4 linked regions of the Pelodiscus sinensis genome follow. The protein of the gene in region 1 interacts with the protein of each later gene in a pairwise test. Links are inferred from orthologs where the notes say so. Each region holds a gene or a part of one and is shown on either strand. Other genes may lie near its edges. The genes, in order: C25H1orf94, MAPK1IP1L, RBM47 and BOLL.

Region 1 (7,292 bases):
CCCCATCAATTGCTTTCCAAAAAAAGCACCTGGCAGCACGCTGAGTTGAAAGGTCTCCCTCTCTTTTACCAGGTGTGCCCAGCTCTGGGGACAGGCCTGCCTAGGACAGCCAAGTTGGCAGAAACTTGCAGGGTTCTTTGAAAGTGCATGTGTGTCTGTTCTAGTGCAGGCTGCTGTTAACCTCCACTAGCCACTGATCAACTTGCCTGATTACCTCCACACTAAGCTGGACAGGGGATTTTTGCCTTTCTAAGCAGCCAACAGCAGCCAGGAATGTTTGATCTACACTGCCACCCACAGTCAAAGCTCAGGCTCAGAACTGGCCAGATTCTGACACCTACGGATTAAACCTCTCTCGTCCGGCACCCTGGGGACCTGACAACTGCTGAACCAGAGAATTTGCCCAACTGGAGGGGGGAGGGGGGAGGGGGGTCAATAGTATCTAGCAGCTTTACCAACACTTCCCCTGCTGCCTGGGCTCTTAGAAGACTGTTAGGGATAAATTGGAGCTAAATCACAGCACAGAACACCAAGAGCCAGGACTGGTGGCTGTAAACAAACTTTATGGCAGGAAACTTGACCATACCCATGATAAGCAGGGATATAAAATCCTGATTAATCAGTTAACTGCTTAAATGTTGGGTTAACCTAACGTTTAACCCGTTAACTGACTGAAGCGGGATCTGAGCTGGAGCAGTGCCCAGCCCACAGGATTCCCAACCCCCAATCCCACCCTGGGGCTGACTGCTGCCAGTCCTCAGCCCCTTCCCCGCCACTGGCCCCCAGTTCTCAGCTCCCATCAGAACAGCCCCTACCTTTGGGGCACCCGGGCTCCCTGTAGACAGAGGCTGCTCTGGACGAGAGCAGCCTCTGTTCATGGTGGGCTGCTCCAGCCCGCATTCGTTACCAGTTAATCGGAACCAGTTAGTGCCACCAATTTAAGGTGATGCTGACCGGTTCACTGGTTAAACTTTCACATCCCTAATGACAAGTGCCGGCTAACTAAAGTCATGCCGGACCATGGATGTTGCCAGACCAGAGAGTGCCGGACTAGAGAGGTTCAGCCTGTATTATATCCTATCTATCATTTCCCCGACCAGAGCCAAAGCAATATAAATCACTGCAAGCCTTCCACCCCCAAAGAACACAATCAAACATAATATTTCTGAATGTCTGGGAGCCAAGGGTCATAGAAACATAGAACCATAGAACTGGAAGAGACCTCAGAAGGTCATCAAGTCCAGCCCCCTACTCTAGGCAGGACCAACTCCAAGTAAATCAACCAGGCCAGGGCTTTGTCAAGCCAAGACTTAAACACCTCTAGGGATGGAGACTCCACTACTTCCCTAGGTAACCCATTCCAGTGCTTCACCACCCTCCTAGGGAAATAGTTTTTCCTAATATCCAACCTGGATCTCTTCCACCACAACTTGAGACCATTGCTCCTTGTTCTGCCATCTGTCACTTGGCATGATTTACACCTATTAGGTCTTGTCTTCACATGCAGTGATGAAGCTGAAACGCTGTAGCCCATTAATGAAGATGCTACTATACCAGCAGAAGAGCTTCTGCCAGCATGGTAGTTAATCCACCTCCCCGAGCTCTGGTCTACACTAGGACCTTAGTCCAAAATCCCCAGACCCGTCCCCCATTCAAATAAGTAAGCAATGCTTCCACACTACCAAGGCTGTTATTCTGGAATACGGGGCCATGGAATTTGAACTCTGTACTCCTGCTTTTCATGAGGAATAATGCTATTCCCAAACTTGTACGTCCGAAATAACATTAGTGTAGACACTTCAGTGCCGCTAATTTGAACTTACTTGCCTCTGGGAGGCCTCCCACAGCTCCCCAGAGTACTTCCTGGGCTCTGAGTCCGAGGTAGTACGTCCATATTCATGGAGCCTGCCTCGGACTAATTTTGATGCTTTCCTGTAGTGAGGATACGCAAGGTCAACGTTGTTTAATCGGCAGTTCTTAAGTCAAATTTAGTAATTTCGAAAGAATTTCCTAGTGTGGACATGGCCTGAGAGGTGGTAGCTATGTCGATGGGAGACATGACCCTATCTACACTGGGTGTTAGAGGGTATAACTACATCGCTTAGTGGTATGGCTTTTTCATACCCCTGAGCAATGTAGTTATACCAATATAAGTCCATAGCATAGAACTGGCCTTAGTCCAGGTGTGGGCAATAAGATGGCAGCAGTTCATCAGGGTTAGCCACTGGCAGGCTGCTGCTGCTATATTTACCTGTGCCACCATAGATATGGGTGCTTGCAGCTCATCTATGGGATGCTGCAGGAAGTAGCACCATCTGGGACACCACTTCCTGCAGCTCCCATTGGCCAGGAATGGCGATCCGCGGCCAATAGGAACTGCAAGCACCCATACCTGCAGAGATGCAGGTAAATACAGTAGCGGCAGCCCACCAGGGGCTAACCCTGGCAAACTGGATCCGGCTCACGTGCTGGTATTTGCCTGCTGCTGGCTTAGTTAGTTCTCACAGTGATTTCCTGGTAGTAAGAAGCATGAACTCCATTTTACAGATTGGGAAACAGAGAGACAGGAAGGAGAAAGAACTTGCCCGGGGCACAAAGGGGATTAGTGCCAAATCTGAGAACATCACATAGGAATTCTGACATTAAGTCTCCCTTTAACTACTAAATGACATTCCATACATAGTCAGAGGTGGTTAGGAGTCTTAATTCATCTGGGCTGGTGAATCTTAAGAGTGTTTTTCCCAAACAAAAAGCAGCACAATCAACAAGTCTCCCTAGGGATATGAACAGACTTAGGATGAATAAAATAAATCCCAACATCTACTTTGTTGACCAACCACAGCTGCTGTGGGTGAAAAGAGCAGCAATTAGATGTCCATGCAGTATTAGCCAAGAGGCTTGTACATAGAATAATCTCTCTGATTATACAGACTACTGTCACCGTGACTTTTTAGATGCATGATAGACAAGTCCACTTTTTACTCTAAGCTAACGGGAGATGCACAGAGCTAAGATTTCAGAGAAAGGTGCAACAGCTGCAGTAACAAAACAAAAAAATCTATGCACAAGTGTTGCCCCTGCAGATGGGCAAAGGCTCTTGTACATGTAAAAATTTCACTTTTACCTGCCCGTGTTCTTTTGTTTTGCACAGACACATGGTGCACATGGAACCATAGCAGCCAAATGAATTTCTGCAGGTATAACCAGTGCATCTGAAGTCTGGGCTGGCTGCCTTCTTCTCATTCACATTCCACAGCCCTCCCCAACAGAAATGTGGTTTAACTGTCGCTGATAAGCCTGTCCTCAGGTTCAACATAGTTTCATAATTCTCTCACCTCCTGGCCTTAAATATCAGCCAGAACAGGACTTGGGAGCTTCCGCTGAAAAAGCTCATGGCCCTCTTCTGCAGAAGCAATACGATTCTTCATGAGCTGTGTCACTATTAAGAATCCGTTCTTCTGTCAGGATCCAGGTGCTCCAAACTGCAGTACAGAAATAACTGTACTGGGTGGCATTCCCAAGGCGGGGCTGGCAAAAGACGGAGGTGTACGTGTTGTACCAGAGCATGCTACCTAGTCCAGTATCCTGCATCAGCAGCCGATGTCCAATGCTTCAGAGGGACCATTAAGAACAAAATAGTGTCCTGAACAAAATCCTCAATCTAGACCCCCCTCCAAACTTTGGCAAGTTCTGAAAGTTGGTTCCTTGAGCCCATCTGCAGAACAAATGGAGACTTAGCTAGCTATGCTCATGCTTCTTAGTTTAGAGACACAGAAGTAAACCAGACAAGACAGCCAGAGCCCCTGGCTCTCAGACCCACACCAGAGTAAATCCTGCGGTCTCTGCTTCAGTTTATTTCTGTGAGAAGGATCAGGAGGGGACCTGATATGAGATAAGAGAAAGGACTCGGAGCAGAGGAGAACTCACCTCCTTTTTCAGTGGAGACAACGTGGGTGTAACCCTCTCATTGTCACAGGATACATTAAATACAAAGAACAGAGGAAGGAAAGAGGAGGGTGGAGTTAATACGTGGACCTGAGAATATATGGAGTTGGGGCAGGGTGGCGACCCCATGGACACCGGTCCTAGAGGCTGCCCTCTGCCTTACTTGGAGGATCTCACACATGGCTCCCTCTTCCCCATCTTCCTTTCAGTGCTGCTGGAATCCCTACCACTGTTTCCGGTTGTTGTCCTTCGTACCAGTTGCCAGGACCCAGGGATTCTATGGTTACCAAGTTACCATGGCTTGTTGCTTTTCATTCCATTCTGTACCCACAACGCCCCTTTCAAAAAGTTGTCTTTTGGTGCCTGGGTGGGAAAAGACTGAAAGATGCTCACAGGCGGGAGTGAGCTCCCGGGTCCGACAATCAGCTCCAAAAGCCCCTTTCCTTTAGGACCTTTCCCCAGGCACATCTGGATCCACCACAACACCCCTCAGGACAGCCTGGACAAAGCCTGCCACGAGATCTGGAAACGGGTACAAGGTCTGCCTGAAGAGCTCCAGTCAACGTCACCAGTCCTGCAGCCTCCCTGTCACCCAGTCTTGCCATCAGACCTCCTCAGAGGAGAGGGCAGCCGCTACCTGAAAGAGTGAGTGTTCTCCAACTATGTCAGAAAGAAGATCACTGATCAACTCCATGTGGAAACATTCACTTTCCAACACCCTTTCTGCCCTACAGTAGCTTTGGGACTCTATGTACAACCAGAGTAGGAAATCTCTCAAACTAGTTGAGATGAAACACTGTGTTTATTTTCACAGCATCAAGCCAGAGGGCAAAATTATTTCCTTTCCCTCCACACATTCATTTTCCTATGCAAAACGCCCCGTGATGCCTCGCCACATCTGTAATTCCCAAGCACAGTAAGCAGCTGCCGCATTCAGTTTCCCCACAGCAGTTTTTTTTAAATCAAAATATTTACAGTAAGAAGCAAAAGATGCTTTCAAAAAGCAAAGCAGAAAATTAAAATGTTATACTATAAACAGCTGATCTTTACAAAGGAGAGCTCAATTTGGCAGAGAAGGAAGGGAGGGGAGGAAGCACAGTTTTCAAATTTAAGAGGGACGTATTTATAGTAGTCTCCTGAAGCGGGACTGGGGGTGAGGGAGTCAAATTTGTAAACCCAGCAATTAATTAACAAAGGTTGGCAACTGTCCTAGTCTGAAAGTAAAAATGCAATAACACCATTCACAGTTTCACAGACAGGGCCCAGCCTGCTGAGATACAGTAAATAAGTAACGTTAGAAGCTCAAAGTGCTTTATAAAAGGTGAATTAGTATAATTTCCCCTTGAAAGCGAGACTGAAGGAAAGGAAATTAACAAAGGCCACACAGCCCAGGAATAGAACCCAGGCATCCAGGACTCAAACCCAGTGTCCCATCCTCACTAAGGCCATGTCTACAGTAGGCAACTATTTTGAAATTAATTAATTTGATTTAACTCTCAATTTAACAAAATTGAACTAGCATGGCCACACTATGGAAAAGCCTCAAAATTAGCGCAAGGCAGGTTTCATTAATGTGGACGTGCTACCTTGGACTTAGAGCCCCAAGAAGCAATGGGGAGTAATTAGTTTGAATTACTCTGCGGAGTAGTTATTTCGAAATACCAACACTGATGCGTCCACACTACCATTATTTTGAAAAAACTATTTTGGAATTAGCATTACTCCTGATGAAAAGCAGGAGTCCAGATTTTGAATTCTGCAGCCCGTTATTCCGAAATAACGAGCTTGGTAGTGTGGATGCTCTGCTTATAAATTTGACTTTGGAGGGGTTATTTTGAAATAAAGTCCTAGTGTAGACCAGGGCTAAATGTACTTAAATCTTGAAGGAAGACTCTTGAGGCTCGTTTATCCTCTTGTGACTGCGTAAACCGGGAGTAACTCCACCAAAGTAACTCCTGGTGCATAGCTGGAGTAACTGAAAGGAGAATGCAGGCCCAAGTGTCTTTATGAACCAGATGTTCATCACATCTGTTCATGCACTCATGAGAGGGGCTCAAATGTTATGGGGAGAAGGGAAGCACCACAGCCAGCGTGGAACAGCATCAAACTACTACTAACAATCTGAACTTTAATTCCTCCCCTATGTTAGGGTACGTCTAGACTACAGGCTTTGTCGACAGATACTATCGACAAAGCCTCTTTCGACAAAGAGTGTCTGGACTACAGCCAGCTCTGTCGACAAAGCAAGCCGCTTTTTCAACAGAGAGTCCCGACGCTCTCTTTTGAAAAAGCACAGCGTGGATGCAATAGCGCCTTTTGTCCACAGAACCCTGTCAACAAAAGGCGTTACTCCTTGTAGAATGAGGTTTACTGCCGTCAGCAAAACTGCTGCGTCTGTCGACTTACTGTCAACAGAACTCGGCGGTAGTGTAGACGCAGGTATAGTTTTGTCGACAAAAGTCCACCTTTGTCGAAAAAACCCTGTAGTCTAGACACACCCTTAGTGACGCAGACCCGTAAAGCTCCATGGAGTGGGGTGGGGTTTTTTTGGTTTTGTTAGCATTGAATTTAGTGGGTTCTTCAAGGGCAGCCAACCTAGCATAATTCCTTGCCACTGGGCCATGTAACTGCCCTGAAACTATCATAATTGGGGAGATCATCCTCTTCTCTCGCCCCTTTGTCTTGTTCGGTGAAACTGTCCACAAGAGCACCAGAGCTGTGATGGGGACGCCTGAACCCACAGAAACTGGACTGAGACCCATCAAACTCATTTCCCATGCAATGAGAGAGGCCGTGGGGTCCAGTGGACAGGGCACACTAAGCTTAGGACTCAGGAGAGCTGGGTTCTACTGACACTTCTACCACTGAGCTGAGGGGTGGGCTGTGGGCAAAAGTCTTCTCCCATACCCTCCAGGTGTTGGTTTTGTCTGCTGAGGGTAGGAGCTGTCTCTTGCCCTGTATCATACGGGGTCTTGATCTTGGTGCATGTACAAGTAATAACTGAACTGCCTTCAGGTAGGTTTTGGCTCCTGTTGACCAAATGCCAAGACCTGCTTTGCTCTCCTCACATGAATAAACCTCTTTGGAGTCACCACTGCTTCTCAACTGGGAGGCTGAGCAGGTGCAAACCCAGACCACAGTTTGGACACAGATCCTGGAGGTATCAGTGTCCTTATACAACTCTCAGGCAATCCAGTCGCTGGGAAGAGATTTTGTAAACCCCTGACCATCTATGCTGACAGCCCGCAAAGGCACACGAATCACCTGATTCGTCATCTGCAACAACACACGGGGCCAAGACGACTCGCAGTGACCTTGCTTGATTTCGCAAGCTTTTAATTATTTTA
Region 2 (7,409 bases), on another chromosome or scaffold:
ATGGCACGAGACAAATCGCTTGGTCATTGTCTTCAGTCCATCCCCTCCGGGGTACCTGGTGTCGGCCGCTGTTGGCAGACAGGCTACTGGGCTAGATGGACCTTTGGTCTGACCCAGTACGGCCATTCTTATGTTCTTATGTTCTAGGCTCAGGGCTCAGGGTCGGGGGTCTCACTGGACCAACTTGATTTTCATGCAAACATGCTCCTGGGTTCGCGTGTGGCCTTTGGTGGCCAGGCTCGCAGCTATCCTGCCCTAGACGGCCGCATTCCTGTGCCTAGTGCGGAGATCATTGACATTGGAGGCCTCCCCCCAAACCTGGATGAGGTCCACAATCTCTGCACTAGACCAGGCAAACATCCACCACTTGCGGCCCCGGGCAGGCTCCTGGGAGCCGCCAGCCTGGTCCTGGGAAGAGGCGGAGGGCTGGGTGGCAGCGGGTGGCTGGCTCGTGCTGTGCCAGGTGAAGGGTCTGCTGGCTGGGTGCTGGCAGGCTTGCAACTGGCACGAGCACCATTGCCAGACCGGGCCCCCTTAAAGGCTTCAGGGATGGGACGGGGGCAGAAGAGTGGCCACCAGGGCAAGCTGGGAAGGGCTAGCCTCCAACTAGTTCGAATTAAGTGGCTACACAGCCCTTAATTCGAACTATTTAATTTGAACTAGGCGTTAGTCCTCGTAGAATGAGATTTACCTAGTTCAAATTAAGCGCTCCGCTAGTTCGAATTAAATTTGAACTAGCGGTTTGCATGTATAGACGCTATGAAAGTTAATTCAAACTAACTGCTGTTAGTTCGAATTAACTTTGTAGTGTAGACATACCCTAAGGTACTACAGGACTCCTTGTCGCTTTTGCAGATCCAGACTAACACGGCTACCCCTCTGATACTTGACCTTTTGCTAGTGATTTCAGAGGAGAGCAGGACCTTGGAAAATGGTGAGAGGCATATTTATGACAACTGTAAAATTCATAGAACGAGGGGCCCAGTTCTTCAGACGTGTGTGTACATATCACGTGAGTACATATCACTGAATTACTCAGATACAAAAATGTTTGCAGAACCAGTACTACAGATTGGAGGGATGGGCAGGAGAATGTCCTCCTACCTAAATGTATCTCCAACATTGTGATATAATTTTGAATAGCACATGTCTGGATTTACGCTCATTAAGATAGCAAGAGCTATGTGAATAGCATAGTTCCAGCTACAATATATGGCACACGTAATCAGATTAATAAATTCCATGCCCAAAATGGCCCATCCTAATCATCTAGCCGGACTGCCCGTATTATCAAGCAAAAGAACTTCTTCAAAATAATTCCTAGAGCTGATCTTTTTCAAAAACACCCAATCTTCACTGAAAAATTGTCTATGATGGAGAATCCACCATGACCCTTGGTAAATTGTTACAGTGGTTAATTAATCTGTTAAAAATTTACACCTTATTTCCAGTCAGAAGTTCAACTAGCTTCAACTGCCAGTCTAGCTTCAACTGCCAATCATGGCTCATGCTATCCCTTGCTCTGCTAGACTGAAGAGCCCATTATTAAATATTTAATCCCCATGTAGGTACTTATAGACTGTAACCAAGTAATACATTAATCGTCTTCCTTGTTAAGATACATAGATTGAGCTTCATGAGCCCTAGATGGATAATGACAGTAGGAATGTAAAGGGATAACCTCAGAGGGGTAGCTGTGTTAGTCTGTAACTTTAAAAAAACGATAGTCCTGTAGCACCTTTTATATATATATCATGAGCTTTCGTGAGCAAAACCCACTTCCTTAGACAAGTAGCCCCCTGTGCCTAGCTGGGCCCCTCCCCCCCCCCCATCGTGCTGCAGGCAGGGTCTATGCCACGGTTAATTGGTTAAACATAGTGTTTAACCTAGGCCTGGGCAAAATACAGCCCGCAGGCTGAATCCAGCCTGCCAAGCCACTGGATCCAACCTGCGGACTCAGCAGGAAGCCCCAGGCAGGTTCCCCTGCTTGCCCCGCAGCTCCGCACACCACTCAGAAAAACGGCTGCAGGACTGTTTCTCTTTCAAAACTGTGATCCTGGAGGAGAGGGGGGAAGGCTTCGGGCGCTGCCCCCGCCCCCAGTACAGTCCCATTGGCCGGTTTCTGGCCAGAAACTGGCCAATGGGAGCTGCCTATTTGAATAACAGGCAGCACATGAAGCACCATACCCCCTTCCCCTCCGGCTCAGTTATTCACACAAGCACATGGCCCTGCAGCCTGTGAAGGCATGGGGCAGGCAGGCTGGCTGGCTGGCTGAGAAATGTTTTAAGCTCTGCAAGCATTTAGCTCTGCAGGCAGGCATGCTGGGAGGGCTTCTGGCTGGTAAGTCTCCTGGCCAGAGCCTGTCTCTGGCACCCCAGTCCCTCCCTTTCCCAACCTTCTGCCCTCCCCCCCCCCCCACTCAACATACCCAAATCCTCTGCCCCCTCCTGCACCCATACTCCCTCCCATATCTGGCACTCCAATCCCCTGTCCCAGATCATAATCCCCTTCTACTCTAGGTCACAACCCAAACTCCAGCACCCCAGACTCCTGCCCTAGGTCATAACTGCCTCCTCCACCCAAATTCCCTCCCAGACTCCACTCTCTCTCCTGCACCCTAATCCCTTACTCCAAACTCCCTTCTGCACTCAACCTCCATCCCAGACCCGGCACCTTCTCCATTAATATCATGGAAGAGTGCAGCCCACAACCACTTTCCAAAATCTTGGAGTGGCCTCCCATCAAAAATTATTGCCCACCCCTGGATTAACCGGTTAACTTTTTAAACAGCAGTTTGCATCTCTAAATGACACTTACCCCCTTTGTAAAAGAGTAAGGTCTTTGGCTGGAGGATAATGTGATCTTATCTATTTATATTGATCCTTGACATTTTTCTGATAAATTTTTAAATAAAACACACCGTTTCACTAAAAAATGATGCATTATATGAAAACAATATTTTTGACTAAATTATTCACATTTTCTTCAAGCCACTAACTTCCACCTCAATTGTATTTTTCTTTCACTACCCAAATCCCCAGCATTTGGGGGGTTAAATCAGAATGTTCTATTTCTGGTTACTTGGCGCTTGGGTTGTGTGTTTTCCTTCCTTGGCTGTTGCAGGTTCATCGGCTTTTTCCCATTATATGTGCATCAGTCATCTGACTGATTTCACTCTAACAGATTTACCTGGCATTTGTAATTTAGCAATTCTATCAAATATATTTTGTTTCTTCATCCCTACAAATGCTTATCATTTGCTATGTTTTCACAACAAAGGGCTATAGTCTATTTGGTTTCTAATAATATTGTCTTCTTGTTTTCAAATCTTAAGCATTGATTTGGGTGTGCCAAAATAGAGCACTACTTTAAATTTCTCCATTTCATCTCTTTCCTATAAAGTTTATTGAGAACAGGATGTAACCAATTAGCCAATTAACTGGTAAGAATCACTCTTATCAGCTGATGCTTACCGGTGCCCCTGGGTCCCAGTTAAGTGGTTAACCAGTTAAACGTAACACTTAACTGTTTAACCCAGATTTTACATCCCTAATTAAGAAGCAATCCTACTGCAGCCTCATGCTATGTTTCTGGCTCATCTTGGTTCACTCTCTTTCAGCATTGGCTCAGTTTTGAGGACGGTGCTTGATTTGGTGCTTTTGGTCTCGTTTCTGGCACCACCAAATCCTCAGGCTGCTTTAAGCCATGCTAAAAAGAAGCTGCATGCCGAATGCGGTGGTCCGAACTCTCGCTGTTTAAGAAGGATTTCCTGAATAAACGGGCAAACTCTTGAAAGCAGATAAACAAGGAGGAAGCCTGTGGCACCTTGTAGACTAACCGATTTATTTGGTTCAGAGGGGTAGCCGTATTAGTCTTAAAAAACAAGGAATGAACTGGTAGCACCCCAGACCACTTGTTTTTTAAGTTTATTCTGTACAGATTAACTCAGCTACCCCCGAAGCATCACAGGTGTGTTAGTCTTTGGTGCTACTAGTCTATGTAAGTTAAGTTTAAACGTGTCGATGGAATCATGAGCTTTCCTGGGCACAACCCACTTCTGGGGCACAAGCTGTGGGGGGGGGTGGGAACCCCACAGGGGCTCAGACCCTTTTGTTGCAATTGTATGTGTGTCTGGGCTTGTGGCAAGGGCTTTCCATGTCACGTGTGGGGAGCCACGTCCTGCTGGCCCCAGCCTGGGACTCTCTGGCCTCCTGCCTGGCCCTGCAGAGCCCCGCCCCTCCCAGCAGCACTTCCCCCCGCGTTCCACTAGGGGCCGCTGCGGCGCCCGCTCGCGCTCGCACCGGCACCAACGGCAGGAGGCGGGAAGGCGTCACGTGAGCCATTCTCGCGGCGGGAAATCTGGGCCCGCCTCTCGGGCCAAGGGGGCGGGGCCCGTGAGCGCCTTTTGTCGGGAAGGGGCGGGGCCTGCCGGCGTTGACCTTCCTGTGCGGGAGGGCGGAGGCGCGCTTCCGCTTCCGCGTGCCAGCCTGGGTCGCGCTGCTGCTGCCGGGCCGGCTCCCTCCCTGCTGCCCTCTGTGTGCGCCGAGCGCCTCCCCCCCGCAGGTAGGGAGGTGGCTGGGCCCGCGCCGAGCGCGCCTGGGGGGGCTTCCGCCGGGAGAGGCCTGGAGCCGCCCAGCGGGCTGAGGGCCGGGGGGGGGTAAGTGGCGACCCCGGGGCTGGTCCTCCCCCGTCCTAGCGGCGGCCTCTGTGAGGGGCTGAGGCTGGGGTGGCGCCTCGGGGTCCCTCCGGCGGGTCGTGCCCGGGAGGCGGGGTCCGGCGCCGCAGTGACGTGGGCCCGGGTCGGTAACGCAGCGGGTGGCCCCGCAGGGGTGGACTCGCGTCACGCCCTCCCTGGGCGCCTCTCGCCGCGGGGCCGGGCCCGGCCTCTCCCCCGGGGCCGTTTGTCCCACTCACGCGGCTGTTTAAAAAAAAAAAAAAAAAAAAAAAGCAGGTGCCCGCGCGCGCGGCCATCGTGTCCCGCAGCCCCACGCCCGCTGCTCGTCGTGGGGCCCGGGCGCGCGGCTGTGGGCCCCTCTCCCGCAACACGGCACAAAGGGATTCGGCGAGTGCGGCAGCGCCGCTGCATGACCTCAGGGGCCACTTCGGGAGGGAGCCCGTGGATCTGTTGCCTAGTAGCCGCTCCTAAAAATAGCATTGCTCCTAGTCGGTGCTGGGGTCTGACACCCCGTGAGAAAAGCAAATAGGCCCCGTCCGAAATGTGTTGCGCTGGGGATGGAGTAATAGCACCACAATCCGGAGGTTTTTGTCCGGGAAAAAGAGCATTTTGGCCTTTGCGCTCAAAATGTTCGTTTAAATGTGTGTTAAATTGGGCGCAAGGACACCTTGAAGAAAGCCTTTGGCAAGTCTGTTTCCTTCCAAAAGACAGGACTAGGTAGCACTTTAAAGACTAACAAGATGGGGACTGAATACACCAAGACCATCCCTGACAGATGTCTTTTTAATCTGTTCATAAAAAACTCCAATTACAGGAACAAAAGACTGGGCTATGAAGCACTGTCATTCATGCTTACATTTGACACTTTAGTATGGGCCTTAACAAAGATGCTAATTATCTCACCCATTACAAAATGCAGGACGATGTAGCACTTTAAAGACTAACAAGATGGTTTATTAGATGATGAGCTTTCGTGGGCCAGACCCACTTCCTCAGCTTTTTGATCTGAGGAAGTGGGTCTGGCCCACGAAAGCTCATCATCTAATAAACCATCTTGTTAGTCTTTAAAGTGCTACATCATCCTGCATTTTGCTTCAACTACCCCAGACTAACACGGCTACATTTCTATCACCCATTACAAAGATAGCTTCCCCAATTATCACCCCCTAATATCATTATTTCACAGACACTAACCTTCCCCCCTCATCCTCTCCCACGCCGTTCTAAAATCTGATTTGTCAATTTTATATGTGTTCACTTTTTTTTTGATTGTATCACTTTGGTATATATGGTTGTGCCAATTTTCTTCCACAAATTGATCTGAGGAAGTGGGTCGGGCCCACGAAAGCTCATCATCTAATAAACCATCTTGTTAGTCTTTAAAGTGCTACATAGTCCTGTATTGTTTCAGCTACACCAGACTAACACAGCTACATTTCTATCACTGTTTCCTTCCAGTGTGACTTTAGTGCTGATCCCATGAGATGTAATACTTTTATAACCTGTTTGACTTCGTATACCCTGACGTTCTGATTTTAGAATAAACATTGCATGATATTATCTACACGTGAAATCGTCTGAAGTATGAATTAACCAGTTAAATTTGTCAGTGAGGGTTCTTCATCATAGATGAGTGGGTTTTGCTGGGTTTGGGCCTGGCACTGCATCATTTCTATCAGTGATCTGGATGTGTCACTGGTAAAATTTGCAGATTGATAGAGTGGTAAATAATGAAGATAGAGAACGCCTACAATGTGATTTGAGTCACTTGGCAGCTTGGGCTTGTTTAAAAAAAAAAAGGGAGGGTTTCAGTAGAACTCTGCATATAGATGCATATGTAGGAATAAGGAATGTAGGCCATACTTATAGAATGGGGGGAAGGGGAGGAACTGAAGTCTGGAAACCAGTGACTTCAAAAAGGATTAAGGGGTCACAGTGGACAAGCACTTGTGTATGAGCTCCCAGTGCAGTGGTGTGGCAAAAAGGGCTAATCCTTCCATGTATAAATAAAGGGATAGTGAGATGGCATATGGAGGTTATTTCTGTATACACTGTTATCTTCCATGTGTTAATCCCATCATATGGGGCTGGTACTTAAAATCTTCCTCCAGATCTCTGATACCATAATCCTCTGTCACACCACATGCTAACATGTCTGTTTATGATGCCCCACCATTTCTTTTTTGGCCTGGTCTCTTTTCCTTCACTCTTTATCTGTTGGACTTTTAACCATAGAGTTATCATTACTGTGCTTTACGTTGCTAAAAACCATCTAAGCCTGTATCTCCATCTTTTTATTTATGGGTGTGTTAAGTTTTTCTAATGCACATGTTCCTTACATGGTCTTTTTTGTTTACACTAAGAACATAAGAACGGCCGTACTGGGTCAGACCAAAGGTCCATCTAGCCCAGTATCCTGTCTACCGACAGTGGCCAACACCAGGTGCCCCAGAGAGGGTAGACCAAAGACAATGATCAAGCGATTTCTCCTGCCATCCCTCTCCAGCCTCTGACAAACAGAGGCCAACGACACCATTTTATCCCCTGGCTAACAGCCTTTTATGGACCTAACCTTCATGAATTTATCCAGCTTCTCTTTAAACTCTATTATAGTCCTAGCCTTCACAGCCTCCTCTGGCAAGGAGTTCCACAGGTTGACTACACTCTGTGTGAAGAAGAACTTTCTTTTATTAGTTTTAAACCTGCTACCCATTAATTTCATTTGGTGTCCTC
Region 3 (7,475 bases), on another chromosome or scaffold:
GAGAAGATGTGCCTGATCTTGGCAGGAGCTAGGTGTACCCAGAACCATGTTATTTTAAAAACAACCACCACACACACAACAAAAAAGAAATATTAATTTAAGTCTCTCACTGGGAAAGATAATGAGCAGTGTCCTTACTACAAGTCTATAGCATGCACTGGTCAATTTTAGAAACATGAAAACTGAAAATGATAGGCCAGATGCAGAACACAATTCCAAGTGACCCACGTATAGTTAGAGCACGGAGTGTTCACATTATGGCTTTTGCTGTAGGTTCACCTCTAATACTGAGATGTAAATGTCCTGCAAGAGAACTTATCTTCATACATAACTATGTGGACTGGCAGATGTATTTCTTCACCAAGGGCCAAATCCTTCTCCTTGATCCCATAGAAATCAATAGTAAAACTTCCACTGTCTTCAGTAGAAACAGAATTTGGCCCTTAAATCTCTGCCAGTGTTTGTCAGTAGTAATGCAGATACTTTCTTAGTATACTTCTTAGCAATTTGGATCATTCTTAATTTGAGAACTCAGTCATGGGAACTCAGGGGAAAATAGAATTTCATAAAATGGAGATGACATTATACATCCAGATGAGTGTAATATGACAACTACCTGAGTCCAGGAAGATACCTACTTCTTATTCCAAACCAATATTAGTATGAATGGTTGTTGAGAATAGCATTAATAGTGTTCAAACTAAGTAGTAAAGCGTATACATTTTGTTAATATTTACACTGACAGCCAGCTCAAACTAGACCCCAACATCTGCTTCCCGTTTTTTTCTAGGCTGATTTTCATGTTAACAGAGAGAGCACATCAGACATTTAAAAGTCCTAATGAGCACAATCATACGAATTTCCCTGATATCAGACACTCATACTGCTTTCATAGACAGCATTCTATCATATGACACTGACTGAATCAGTATAATACAACTTCTGTACAATGTGTAGAATAGCAAATTACAACACCAAACAATGGAGATGTGGATGGCCATTGATCCTGCCATTATCTCCATGCAGCAGGACTCCTGCCCCTATGAAAAGTCTTATAGTAATCAGCAGAGCTCCATGAATGGGATCCTACCAGGATCAGGTCCTTAGACCAAATTTCTCTTGGAACAATATTCCCATAAACATTTGCCATCTTGGCTCCTTAAAATAAGTATTTTTATCCAAAAGTGTTAATTGTTTAGTTTGCTAATTATAGCACATACCACTAATGTTTGTTAATTATTAATTTTTCATACTGGACTGGAAAATTAAGGTACAGATTCTATTAGGAGCTATATTTACATGACAATTATGTTTTAAAAATATCATAGTTCCAAAGCTACTCTGCCCTGTTGTGTGTGTTTGATAGCCCATGACACATGTTAGAAAAGAGGGCCCAATTCTCATCTAGCAGATAGATTGTATCTCAAGAATGGCTATATTGAAGGCAATGAAGTTATTTCACTGGGTAAAACATGAGTGAAAGAAGAATCTGGCCCAGTGACAGGATATAAAAGAGTGAGAGAAACTGAGAATACAAGCAAAATGTTTTCCCTTAATTTATTTTTCAGACTCTAATGTTATTTTGACTGTATAATTTGATTTTTAGCCTTGATAGTAATTTAAACATGAATCTGTTAGGAAAAATAAGATAACACCAGAAATATACTGCTATTTGGAGTTTATCTTTCTCAAGAGTGCATATTGCTTTCCATTTTCCAATTTTATACCAGGCTCTGCTTAATACCACAAGTAACCTTTCACCTTTATGATCTGACACCTGCAGTACTTGGAGATGTTTAGTATATAATGTTGCAGATCCCTCTGGCAATAGTCCTAAAGTACAACTGCTTGCTCCGCAGTTGTTGTAACAGCCTGATGTATGTTTTCTTTTCTCCCCCTTACAATCATATGAACTCAGCATTAGACTTGTAAAGAATATATTGCAAGATTGTCCAAGTTACTATTACACAAAACTGTGGCTCATAAAGACGCCATTATTAGTTTCAAACTAGCCTCTGGGGCCATATTCTGCTCTGTGACCTCAGCTGGGTGGCAGACTTCAAAAACTAATCTTTTGGTTTGCTACATCCAACTTTTAATATCTGTGACTTTTGCCCCAATCTTTATTTTAAAGCCAAAATGGGAAATGAACTGTATAATTTTAACTTGTAAAACAAACTGTTTCTTTTTATGTGCATAATGAGACATGCCCCAACAATTTTCATCTAACAGCATATAAATATAACTAAAAGGCAAAGAAAGGTGGAATCTACCCGTATTTTATTTTGAAATAATCATTACTAGAAAAGTTCTGTTCTCTTCATTTTAATTGTTTCTAATCAGAGATCCCAAACAGGTATCCTGTTAATTTGTCATCCATCAAAATTATGTCACTGCTACCTGTTGTGAACAGACTCTGATTTTAAACCAACCCTTCCTTCCCCCCCCCCCCATATTTACTTCAACACTATTTAACATGTCAGCTGAAAAGATATTGGCTAAACTTCTGAAATAGCATATATACCGGAGATCACTTTTCAGTCCTCTCTTATTTGATATCTCTCTTTTCCTCTCTAATCTTATAAGTTTTTAAAGAATCTAGTCCATTGTTCAATCACTTTAAAGGAATTGTCAAAGCTTACCTCAAATTGTGGTTTTGTTTCTGTTTTTCACTGACATTATTTTAAACACTTTAAAAAAACCACAACCTTATGTCCCACCATGCTCTTAAAACAATCACAAGAGACTAGACCCTGCAGCAAGGTCACAGGGATAGCATAGTGATCACAAAAAAATTACGTACCTGTATGGTGTTTCTGAAGACAGTTTCTACACTTAAGCACCATTCACAGAGAAGAAAGCGTTTCTGGGCAGCAATCTAATGCATCTTCTTACTTTTTCTAATGTTCTGCTAATTGAGCAGTGTTGAGCAACTCCCTACAAAGCTGTTTAACCCCTTTGTTTCACACTCTGCCGTTCAGAATTGCTGAACACTGAAATACTTCTAGCAAGTCTCTCTGAAAGTAATACCAGCTAAGCTAAAACCCTTGATTCTCACTGACCTAAGCTGCACATTCCAATCTATTAACAGGAGTGCTAATCAGAAATCACTCTTTTAGACTAAATTCCGGACTAGACATAAAGCATGAAAGTTAAGCTGAGATACTGCTTTACCAGGACTCAGTTTTTGCCGACTGGTTTGGTAAAGTCTGCGATGTCTCAGGACTCAGGAGCACTCAGTAAAATTGTGACTGAGAGGAAAATGTTAAGTGTCTCATCTCTGTGTTCTTTTTTCCTCCCCCCTCTCTTGTTCTCGCTGCTCACAGTAGCAAGGTTGTTTCTTGTATACTCCCTGCCCTTAAACTCACCAAACCAGATTTTTACTCCCAACACCAGCAACTTCCCGTAAATCTGAACTGAAATTTTATCCTCTTCACTGAGCCTTTGCTGGCTCAAGGCCAGTGCAGCATTCCTGTTGTTTTAGGAGAGCAGATACCTTTGTTTTTTTAAGGGGGGGAAGAGAATGGATAACCTGAAGAGATGTAAAGGCTGACGTCAGAGAGACACTTGGAAACAATTTAAGAATTGCTTGACACGCCATTTTTAATATAAATAAATAAATATGGAGTTCCAATGTGAACACCCAGAGAGGGAATGTATCGTCACTAAAACAGAGCCACTATTTGCTGAACCACCTGCTTGATCTCTACATACAGTGGTTTAGAAACAAGATGCTAAATCTTGAATATCTTCTAACCCCGCCCCCCTTTAAGCAACGTAGGTTTTCAATAGAGAGATGAAGATTTAAAGGGAAAACAAATTAATAGCACTCACCTGAGGCATAGCATGGCTTGAATTAGTACAGGAAGGTATTGCACTAGGAGAAACCCACAAGCCTTTCTGATCCAAGTTTCATCAATAAGTGGTTGTGCTTGTTAAATAAGTGCCTCATGTCACCCCCTTCTGACCTGCAGTTACATCTGGTTTCTAGAAAAGGAACAAAAGAGAAACTAGTTTTAGAAATAACAGCCAAGCCCTCTTTTAACCTCCCTGTGATCTCTCTGAGAATTGTATTTTAACCCTAAAAAGAAACAGCAATGCCAGAGAGTAAACTTTTCCTCTCCACCTCTTTTACTCTACCTGCCTGTGCAAGGGTTAAGTAGCCTGATGTATTTAAACAAAGCACAAAACCTGTTTATAGTAAATGCAATCAGCCAACAGAAAGATAATTCAGTACTTGTGACTAAACAAACTGGAACAGGAAGCACACATCATCAAAAAATTTTTAAAAAGTACTAATTCCTGCTTGCATTGTCATGCAACTGAAAAATGTTTCTACTTCTCTTTAGACTGAGTCTTTTATTCAATGGCAGTTCAGTTTGTGTGAAAAGTTTAATACTCCTGTTGTTTAATCATTTACATGCAAACATTTGACAGAACAATGTTTGCTTTTTGTACAGATTACTATGGAACCTTTGCATTATTTTTCTTGTTTTGGGGAAGGAATGTTTCTGTAGCTAAGTTTTATTTTCGAATTATTTTTGTAATTTATGAGAGTTTGCCTATACTTTGCCCTATAATTCTTTCACACAACATGAATTCAAACAGGAGAATAATGAAGGGTCATAAAAATTTAAAAAATTAAGGTATATAGTATCGAGAGTTAAAGCTACTGTTGACAATATTCTGCAACCATATTTGTAAGTGATCATAAAATGCTGCTAGCTGTATCACCTGGGAAGATACTAAACCTGCATTGTTTTGCACGTTCTGTCCTGTACAACTAAATTTCTCTGTTAATTTTTATGTAAGCAAAAGCTACAGTGACTCCTACTGAGTTTTGCTTGAATAAGAACTTCAGGATCAGGCCCATATTATTGAATCTCTCTAGTCCAGAACTCTCTGGTCTTGAAACATCCATGGTCCGGAATGATTTTAGTGAGGTGTATGTCCACTTTTCATGGGTGTGGCCACGTTTCCTGCTGTCCCATAAAGTTTGTTTACAGCCACTTGTCCTAGCTCTCAATGTTCTGTGTTGTTATTTAGCAATAATTTATCCCTATATGTCCTCTAACAGCCCAGTAAGCTGTGGAAATGATGATAATGCTGCTAGACAATATTGACCTCCCATAACCCAGAAAATTCTCTGGTTTGGAACCGGACAAGTCCTAAGGGTGCCTGATTAGAGAGGTTCAACCTGCATAATAATACCAAAGAATCACATACTGAAGCCATGTCTACATTAGTATTTATGTTGACAAAACTTTTGTAACTCAGGGGTGTGAAAAAATCAACTCTAAGCTACATAAGCACTTGCCAGCATAAGCACTTGTGTGCACAAGCTATGTGGTGGAGACTCTCTCCTGCAGACACAGCTACCATTACTCCTTCCACTAGTTTTTATTCTGTCTACAGTTGAGCTCTCTCCCATTGGCACAACATGGCTACATATGCACCTTTAAAACGGCATTGGGTAGATGTAGACATGGCCTAAAATTTGAAGTCTTGAAATGAGCGGCTAATGAATGAATGTTATGCACTTACTCAGTGCATAGTTTCAATGTTCCTAATTTTTGTATAATCAAAACCACCTCCTCCCAATCAGGGTATGTCTAGACTACATGACTGCGTCGACGGAGCCATGTAGATGAGTTTACTAGACATAGGAAAAGGAAGTGGCGATTTAAATAATCACTGCTTCATTTACATCAAAATGGCCACCACGCTGTGCTGATCAGCTGTTTGGCGGCACAGCGGGGCAATCTGGATGCACCGCGGTCGACAAAGGAAGCCTTTGTCGACCACTCTGGTATGACTCATGAAATAAGGTTTACCAGAGCAGTCAACAAAGGCTTCCCTTGTCAACCACAGCGCTTCCAGACTGCCCCGCTGTGCCACCAAACAGCTGATCGGCACAGCGTGGCAGCCATTTTGATGTAAATGAAACGGCGATTATTTAAATCACCGCTTCATTTTCTTATGTCTAGTAAACTCATCTACATGGCTCCGTCGACGGAGCCATGTAGTCTAGATATATCCTCTATGAAAGACACCATCCCACTAAGAAGTCTACAGTCATGTCAAATGCTAGGTTTAAACTTCAGCTGCTTTTTTGCTGTAGCACTGCTCAAATAGACTAGTGATAGAATGTTTGTACAGGAGAAGTGTATTTTTCCCACTGCATCAAAACTCAGAAAGGAATAAATGGAATACAAATTTGGAAGATTTTTGACCCCAGAGATGCTGAACATTTTTGAAAGTCATAAGTAGTATTGAGAAAATAATGGGAGAAAAAAATTGTTCAGAAGCATTTATTTCAATTAAAGTGTGCTTGTTAGTCAACTGTACTTACAACCATTCCTCAAAAATATTTGAGCAGCTAATTGCTGCTAGAATAACCTTGCAAATTTTGAAGAATTTGCAAGTGTATATTCACAAATGTGACACTAGGTGGGTGAAGGCTACATCCAGAAATTCTAGCTCTTTATTTGGCATCTGTAGAAGAGTCAGATGATGATAAAGCCCCTATTTATGATCAAATATTGAATTTGTAAAGATATAACAGAAAACAATTTATCTGAGACCTTAATGCCCAACCTGAATCAGTCTCTTTTTTTCTCCCTATATGTTCTATTTGTCCAACTTACACGGATGTTTAGTAAATCTGATGGTGAGAAGCTCTTTAAGGGCAAAGCAAAAAGTGATCCAGTGCTGGAATGTAAACGAGATGTGCTGTAATTTGCTGCAACACCCATCACTCTGTCGGGTTAAATGAGTCAAGTGCATTCAGAACTCTCTAGTAGTGAGCACAGGTTTCCTGTTCTCTTGCCAAGCCATGGTAGGGTTTCTAACTAAAAGAAAAGAATTTAATGAGTTCACAGCAAAGTGAATTAAGTTAAGTGCAGCATGATTAGACTATGATCGCTAATCTTAAAAGAAAAAGCACTTGATTGAGGACGATGCCCTTCAAAGCTGATTGTGCCAATTGTAACTGAAAATTCTGGCTAGATACATGCTATCTCTCAACAGTTATCGGACATCCTTCTGAAATATCATAGAATCGCAGGAATGTAGAGCTTGGAAGAAACCTCAAAGTTATCATGTCCAGCCCCCTCTGCTGAGGCAGGACCAAGGAAACCTAGAGACCATTTTTGATAGTGGTTGTCCAACCTGTTCTTAAAAACATCCAATGATGGGGATTCCATGACCTCCCTTGAAAGCCTATTTCTGTGCTTAATGAGCCTTAAAGTTAGAAAAATGTTCCTAATAGCTAACTTAAATCTCCTGTGTTGCAGATTAAGCCTATTACCTCTTATCCTATCTTCAGTGGGCATGGAGAACAATTGATCGCAGTCCCCTTTCTAACAGCCCTGAACATGTTTGAAGACTATTATCAGATTCCCCCCCCCCCCCAGCCTTTTCTCAAGATTAAAAATGCCCCTTTTTTAACCTTCCCTCATACATCAGGTTTTCCT
Region 4 (7,673 bases), on another chromosome or scaffold:
ATTAGGAGTAGGCCAATGAGGCTTTGTAGGATGTTAGTTCTAGTAGTCCATAGCCATGTTTTATTGATCATTACGCCCAAGCTATGTCTACACTTACACAATCTCGTACCAGAAATATGCAAATGAGGCTAAGTGTGGAATATCATTGAGCCTCATTTGCATATCTAATGAACCACCATTTTTGCAGAAGAGGCTCTTGCGCCAGAAGGAATACCTACACTGCCCCTTCTTGCGCAAGAAAGCCCCTCTTGTGCAATGCCGCTACCCTGATTATTTTCAGGAATAACGGCATTGCACAAGAGGGGTTTTCTTGAGCAAGAAGTGGCAGCGTAGATGCTCCTTCTGGCGCAAAAGCCTCTTCCACAAAAATGGTGGCTCAGATATGCAAATGAGTCTCAGCAATATTCCATGCTTAGCCTCACTTGCATATTTCTGGCACAAGATCACGCCAGTGTAGACATAGCCCCAGTGTATGTCTACCATTGAAGTGCTACAGTGGCATTGCACTGCTGTAACTCTACCTACACTGGCAAGAGGGATTCATCCATCAGCATGGGCAATCTACCTCCCATAGAAGCAGTAGCTAGGTCAACAGAAGAGTTCTTCTGTTGACCTAGTCCTGCCTACATGAGGATCTAGGTCATCTTAACTAACCTGTTCAGAGTTATGAATTTTTCACATCCTTGACCAAACAGTTAAACCCATATAAATTTCCATGTCATGGGGCAGACTCACCGCCACGGCACCTCCTGCCAGTAGCCCTGGGAATTAGCTTATTAGCCTGCAAGGTGCTTCCCTTGGGCTAGAATCTCCTCATGTCCTAACACCATGCTCTCCATTCCAGACACTGTCACTCCCAGACCACAGCATCCCCTTTAGGACACTGCCCTCTGGCAATGCCCACTCTAGTGTCCCTTTGTCCCCTTCCAGGGGGTGTTTATCAGTCTCTATCATCCTCCCTTCCCAGGGAACCCATAATTTCCCAGTACTCACCTTGCCTCTGACCCACTGGTAGTCTTCAGCTAGCCTCTGCCACAGGTGTAAACTGCAGTCTGCAATGGCCACTCATTATTGGCAAGGGAATGTGGACTTGCTGCCTCTTCCTATCCTGGCTACCCCCCTGCAGACCTCAGGCCCGTCAACTTGGGAGTGAGATCAGACTAGGGCTCCCCAACTCTAGCCACTTTTTCCCAGCACTGCTCTGTCTCAGGAAGCTACCCCCAGCTTTGCTGGCTGGCCTCTCTTGTGCCCTCCTGGAGCCCTTAATTATACAACCCACAGCTGGGCTGTAATTGGCAATATCACCCTCAGCTGTGGGCTTTGCTCTCAGCCCTCTTTCAGGACTGGGTTTTAGCCTTAAATGGCCAGTGAGGGTGCAGTTGTGCCATTACAATCCAGTGTAGACCAGGTTTTGAACTCCATATTTTTAAATCTAATCTCTCACATGACAGGATATATTTGAATTATAAATCATGGCTTGCAAGTGTGGTCACAACCAGAAAGTTTGGATGCTAAATGCATCTTGTATTGTAGAACTCTGCCATCAAAACCAGTGAGTCGACAGCCTCTGCTAAGCACTGACGATTAAAATCAAGAAAACTTCTATTTCTTTCAATTGTCTGTTGAGTAAACGTAGCTACTAGGTAGGAGACTACACCGAGCAAAATATTGGGCTAAGGTAGACTGAGGTCAGAAGAATGTATGACTATCCCCATTAACTGAGTCATATGAGAGACCCCAGATCAGCCAATCATTGAGGTAGAGGTACTCATGTTTGATGGCCTTGTCTCCTTCAGCGAATCACTACTACCGGCAGGCATTTGATAAATACCCACAGAACTGTTGGCAATCCAAATGGTAGAACTCTGAACTAGTAATGAAAAATGTTGTCTATAAAACTTAGAAACTTTCTGTGAGCTGAATGAATTGCCTCATGAAGGTAAGCATCCAGCAAGTCAAAAGCAGGGAACTTATGAATGGGATCTATGAAAGATATTATAGAACAGGTGATCTTGTTAAAACTCCTGAGACCTAAAATCAACTTCCATTTATCTTTCTTCTTCCATATGAGGAAGTAATGGGGGAGGGAATAGAACACTTTGGCATGACGTTCCAGCAACACTTTTGTCACTCAGTGGAAGCAAAGAGTTTCTCCGTACACAACCAGAGGAGGATACAGAGTTGGTAGCTACTGAAATTGGATTGAATAGCCTTTTTGGTCAATTTCTAAGAGCTACTGGCTAGTCATAATGATAGCTCGGGCATTCGAAAGAAGGAGGAGATTGAAAGACAGGCCATTGCCAAAAAGAGAGGAGAGAAAATTCTTTGAAAATTTTTTGGGATTCTCAACTGTTGTGTTAAAATATCCTTAAAACTGACATGGGTTTCCAGCCCGCTCATTCTGCATTCCAATTCTTACTCTCAGCAGCTTTGTGCAGAACCATCAGCTAATTTGATGGGAGTGTATCTTGTAAACTAGTGGTTTTTAAACATTTTTTCCTCATTATCTAGTTGAAGAAAAGTGTTGATGCCCGTGACCCAGCATTATTTGACTGGAGTGGGGACTCTGGGATGGGTCTGATGATGATAGCTTTGGGGTGTAAAAAGAGGTTCTGGCTTTGGGGAGGTTCAGGGCTGGGGCAAGAGGGGCTTACTTTGAATAGCACGTGATCAGTGGTGCAGCATAGGTGCTAAGTCGGGCTTCCTGCTTCTCCTGGAACCACAGACCATGCTGCACCCCAGAAGCAGCCAGCAGCAGGTTCCCAGCCAATAGGAATGTGGAGTTAGTGCTTGGGGCAGAAGCAACGAACCCTGTGTGCTTTCCACCCCCCACCTAGGAGCCAAGCCTGCTGCGCAGTCTGTGATGCTGGGACAGCTAGGTAGCCTGCTTAGCACTCCCATTGGTCACCACATTCCTCTGCAGCAATGAGATCCAGTACCTGGCATTCCATAACCCAGTTTCGACCCATAGTTTGAAAACCACAGTTGTAAACCCTTTGACTAAGGGCTCATCTAGATGATGCAGAACAGTCGGAAGAGGATATGCAAATTGTGGGAATTTGCATATCTTCTTCTGATTGCATTTTCAAAAGCAGAGCTATCGAAAGTGAAAGTAGTTTAGATGCGACTTTTTCGGCGAACCTCCCCCTTTGTCAAAAAGAAACTCTTCCTCAAAAAATGGTTTACGCAGCTTTTTGACAAAGGGGAGGAGGGTTTGCTAAACTACTTTTGCTTTCGAAAGTGCGATCAGAAGATATACAAATTCCCGTAGAATTTGCATATCCTCTTTTGACTGTTTTGCGTAGTCTAGATGAGCTGTGTGTGACCTCAGATTTATACCATTGTTTTATTCAAGTCACTCTCCTGGCAAAGCATCTGCAGGTCAGTCTAATCCTGTGTGTGCCACCAGAATTAAGGGTTAATAGCTTTTGAAATATTTTATTGTACAGCTTGTTTTTTATTATGTTTACTAGGTGAGATCAGAGGATGGCCATTTCATGTGTATCTTAAATATGTTTTTTCCCCTCAGCTCTGAGCAAAATGCATTTTAAGAGTTGGAAAAGTTTAAAAATTGGTAATTTGGTGGGGACTATCTCCCAAACCTTTGGACCCACATTTGTATCACTAATTCTACCCAGCTATTGATATGCTTCAGCAAATTTGCAAGGCCATTTGTCTATGGGTACGTCTAGAGTGGCAAGATTTTGCGCAAAAGTGGCTGCTTTTGCGCAAAATCTTGCTGCCTGTCTACACTGGCTGCAAGTATTTGCGCAAGAACACTGACTTTGTACTGTACAAAATCAGTGGTTCTTACACAACTACTCTGACGCTCCCGCTCAGGGATAAGCCCTCTTGCGCAAGTATACTTGCGCAAGAGGGACAGTGTAGACAGCCAAGTCAATTTCTTGCGCAAGAAAGCCCGATGGCTAAAATGGCCATCAGAGCTTTCTTGTGCAAGAGAGCGTCTACACTGGCACGGATGCTTTTGTGCAAAAGCAAATCTTTTGCACAAAGGCACATGCCAGTATAGACGATCTCTTGCGCAAATACTTTTAACGGAAAAACTTTTCCGTTAAAAGCATTTGCGCAAAATCATGCCAGTCTAGATGCAGCCTATGTGTTTCCATGTTGAAGCCCTTTGAAAAATCAGTTCTAAACCAAAAAGCTTCTCAAGCTTGAAGTCACTACTACTCCTTTATAACAACAAAGTGCCTGAGCCCTGGCTACGCTACAGCATTCAATATTGCTTATATCAATAGCAAGTTACATGTGAGTATTTGGGAATGATGGATTTTACTTCAGTCCCCCCTCCCTCTCCCCTCCGGTGATGTGTGTTACAGTTTAAGTCTTTCTCCCTTTATGAATGGAAAATGCAATTGAAAGGATTTTTGTATGTTATATCTCCTGGGTAATGGGGATGGAAAAGGACTTTGATATATATTAGGATTGTGTGGGGACTTTACTAGCTGTTTCAATAAGGAATCCCCGTGGAGCTGTAATTTTCAATAGTTACACCGCCCTTCCCTACTACTATTCTTATATGTTTGTGTATCAGCCAGCCTGCAATCAGTTTTTTGAGAGTGTGTGTAATGAGGGTTTGCTGGTGAGATGATACTCACTGAGGGGGAGGGGAAGAAGGAATGTGTGAGTGCAGAAACCCAGAAGCACACAGGGAATGGAGGAGCAGCCAGCAGCTTTGTGCTGCCTTCTCCTGCTACTCCAGGCCTGGAAATAAGAAACCAACCCCTACCCAGCTGCAGCTACTGGTGGTGCCCCAGGGTTTAGTAACTCACTCTGGGGAGGTGAGTAAGCAGCCCTCCCATTCCCTGTGCTTGTAGGGTCTGTAAAGGGGTTTGTGTGTGGTGCTTAGGCGTTGGGCATGCCTGTCTCAGAGCAGCAAGCTAAGCTTTCTGAGTGACTGACAGCACCAGCAGGTGCAAGGGGTGGTGGCGAGAGGGGAGCTCCACTTCCCTACACATTGGTCTCTTGTAACTCAGTGACTGAGCTCCTTTACTGGGGTGGGGAGTGAAGGGAGGATTTCAGTGGGACTGAATGGAAGGGATCAAGAGGCGTGCTGTACAACGGGAAAGGGAGGGCGTGCTTGTGTGGAAGCTGGGCAGAGAGAAGATGACTAAGCATTAGCAGGGGGGCTAGGAGGACCCCTTGAGGGCGGCATTGGCCCGGGCTGCAGGTGAGGGATAGCAGTGCTGGGGGAGCAATGTTGGGGCAGAGCATGGAGGAGGGCTCTGTGGGCTGGTGGGGGAGTAGCTGCGCGGGAGCCCTGAGGACATGCTGCTTTCGGCGCTTCGTGGCGAAGGACCCACGTGGGCAATAGAGTCCGGTAGCCCCGTGGAGCCTCGGGAGGAGGAAGCGCGAGGCAGCCCTGAGGGGCGGGCGGGGGGAGCAGAAACAAGTGACCTCCCGCCTCTCTTTCCCCCCCGCCTCCCCGAGCCGAACCCTAACATCAATCTCCGCCCCCGCCCTCCCGCTCTGTGTCGCCCCCTAGCCGCGCGCTCGGCAGGCCGGCGAGCCCCTCTGCCCCACGCTCCGTTTCCCGGGCCCGCCCGCCCCGAGGTGACTTGCTTCGGCTCTGTGTGTGGGTTTACAGCCAGAGCGCCTCGGGCTCGGAGCTGCCGCGGCGTGTGGAGGGAGCGGCGTGCGGGGAACGTGCTGCGGGGACTTTGAGGCCGCTGTGAGGCGGGAGATGGAGCCCGACAACGCGGTGAGTAGGGGGGGGGGGGGCTGCGTAGCCAGGCTAGTGAGGGGACAAGCGGGGCCACAGGCCTGGCCACTCCGACTCTCCCTGGGACCGACCCAGCCTGAGGGAGGAGTCGGGTGGCTCCTGGGGAAGCCGCCTCAGGGCCCGCGCGAGGGGCTGTGAGTGATCCCCGCTGGGTCTGGCGAGCGCGGGCTGAGGGGCAGCTCGAGGGGCGGCGGCCCCGTTCGATAGCCAGGCCTGTGTGAGGGGCGCTCTGCTCCCTAGGCCGAGCGCGGCTTTCCCGCCAAAACCGGCAGGGCGGCCCCGCCCCGCCTACTGCTCCTGCGAGCCGTTCGCCCCTCCCCCAGCGCGAGCTGTTCCCCGCCGCTCGAGCGAGCCGTTCGCTCCCCTCCCCCCGCCGCGCGCCTTGGCCTCGCCCCCTCCCCCCATCACATGTCGCCAGCGTGGCTGCCTGGCTTTGGCCGAGAGGGCGGGGCCGTTGTGCGGCGCCCGGGATTTTAATGGGGGGGGAGCTGGTGTGAGGAGCTGCCAGAGCCCCCCGGGCTCCCCGAGGCCTCGTTCCCCTTGCTGGCTCTGGGGAGCCCCAGTGCTGCTTGTTTTCCTCCCCCCATGCAACTATCCTGCAATTGCATGAACCCACTTGGCTTGGCATTAGCCTGGGGGGAGGGGGGGGGAAATGGTCCCTCTAAGATTTTCCTCCCACGAGCAGGGAGCGTGTTGTCTTGCGCGCTAGTACGGAGTTCACTGCACTTGTTCGGATGTGCCACTGTGGCACCCAAGAGATTAATAAATATCTTACAGTCCTCTCCCTTTTCCCTCTGCTGTCACGTCTCCTGCTCTCCCCTGGTGCCTACTGTCCCCCACCCCTCACTCTCCTCTGCTGTCCTGGCGCCTGCCCGTCTCACTCCCCTCAGCCCTCTGGGGACCTACCCGTCTCCTGCCCCCCCCCCCCCGTGTTCACTCCTCTTCTAGCCCCCCACTGGTCACCTGTAGCTACCCGTCCCTAGCCCATCTCCTAACATCTCCCTCTTCCCACCTGCCCTGCCTCTCTACTCTGATGCCCATTCCTCCCCCTCCATGTGTCCACCCTTCTACTTCACCCCCACAATCTCCTGGCTCCTTCCCTTACCCCTGCACCTTCCTGGTGCCTCCCCCTTCCCTCACTGCCCTTGCCCTCTTTCTCCTTGGTGCCCACCCCTCACCATCCTTTGCCCCAGTTCTCCTCATGCCCCTCTGCACCCTCACACATGATTTGCTCTATCCCCTGCCTTCCTTGTGCCCACCCCTCCTTTTCAACTTGTCTTCTCCAGGCACCCACTCCTCCCCTCTCCTCTTCCTCCCTTTTGCCCCCATTGTCCCTCCTTTTTCCTCTCCCAGTATCACCCTATCCCTTCCCCTCTCCCAAGCCCACCAACACCTCCCTTCCACTCCCCCTCCTGTCTTTTTCCTCATTGTCTCCTCTTGCCCCCCTGGCATTTGTCTCTCCTCCACCCTGCCTCTTAGTGCCTGCCCCTTTCTTCTGCCCTGCCCGCTTTCTCTCAGCACAAGCCCCTTCCTCTCCTCACCCCCATCTCCCTCTTAGTTCTTCTCTTGCCCCCTTCCCTTGCCCCCTTCCCTCACCTTCTGCCTTCCACATGGAAAGCAGTTTGCGGGGCTGGAACCGGGCTGTGATGCTATTTTTATACTGTGGTCCAGCCCCCACAGCCCAGGACCCCATGCCGGGGTCCTAGTCCCGGTGAGCTGCCCAGCTCCAACTGGAGTCATGCAGCAGCCACACAAGGCCCATTTTGGTGAGGCTGCCTTGGCTGGAAAGTGCCTCTTGACACCAGCTGGAGCCAGGGCTACACGCGGGGGCCAAGACCATGGTACTAAAAATATCACCATGGGTGGCCTCCACTACAGTCCCGAGCGCACCCCATCCTGCAGTGTCCCTGCTGGGCTCCATGCAGCAGTC

Evidence for each region.
Region 2: the proteins of C25H1orf94 (region 1) and MAPK1IP1L interact in binary tests that used the Homo sapiens proteins (3 or more experiments, as listed by UniProt). The two-hybrid records come from large-scale screens. The link is inferred for Pelodiscus sinensis from reciprocal best matches to the Homo sapiens genes C1orf94 and MAPK1IP1L.
Region 3: the proteins of C25H1orf94 (region 1) and RBM47 interact in binary tests that used the Homo sapiens proteins (3 or more experiments, as listed by UniProt). The two-hybrid records come from large-scale screens. The link is inferred for Pelodiscus sinensis from reciprocal best matches to the Homo sapiens genes C1orf94 and RBM47.
Region 4: the proteins of C25H1orf94 (region 1) and BOLL interact in binary tests that used the Homo sapiens proteins (3 or more experiments, as listed by UniProt). The two-hybrid records come from large-scale screens. The link is inferred for Pelodiscus sinensis from reciprocal best matches to the Homo sapiens genes C1orf94 and BOLL.

The regions. Positions count from the first base shown.
Region 1 is NC_134735.1:5,911,880-5,919,171, forward strand, and holds the start of C25H1orf94 (uncharacterized protein C1orf94 homolog), read left to right. Parts: upstream 1-4,278; 5' UTR 4,279-4,330; coding exon 4,331-4,590; intron 4,591-7,292.
Region 2 is NC_134714.1:9,266,585-9,273,993, forward strand, and holds the start of MAPK1IP1L (MAPK-interacting and spindle-stabilizing protein-like), read left to right. Parts: upstream 1-4,408; 5' UTR 4,409-4,564; intron 4,565-7,409.
Region 3 is NC_134715.1:92,180,959-92,188,433, reverse strand, and holds the start of RBM47 (RNA-binding protein 47), read right to left. Parts: upstream 3,010-7,475; 5' UTR 2,847-3,009; coding exon 2,804-2,846; intron 1-2,803. UniProt on the Homo sapiens protein: Single-stranded RNA-binding protein that functions in a variety of RNA processes, including alternative splicing, RNA stabilization, and RNA editing. Functions as an enzyme-substrate adapter for the cytidine deaminase APOBEC1.
Region 4 is NC_134717.1:71,754,238-71,761,910, reverse strand, and holds the start of BOLL (protein boule-like), read left to right. Parts: upstream 1-4,656; 5' UTR 4,657-4,802; intron 4,803-5,608; 5' UTR 5,609-5,704; coding exon 5,705-5,722; intron 5,723-7,673. UniProt on the Homo sapiens protein: Probable RNA-binding protein, which may be required during spermatogenesis. May act by binding to the 3'-UTR of mRNAs and regulating their translation.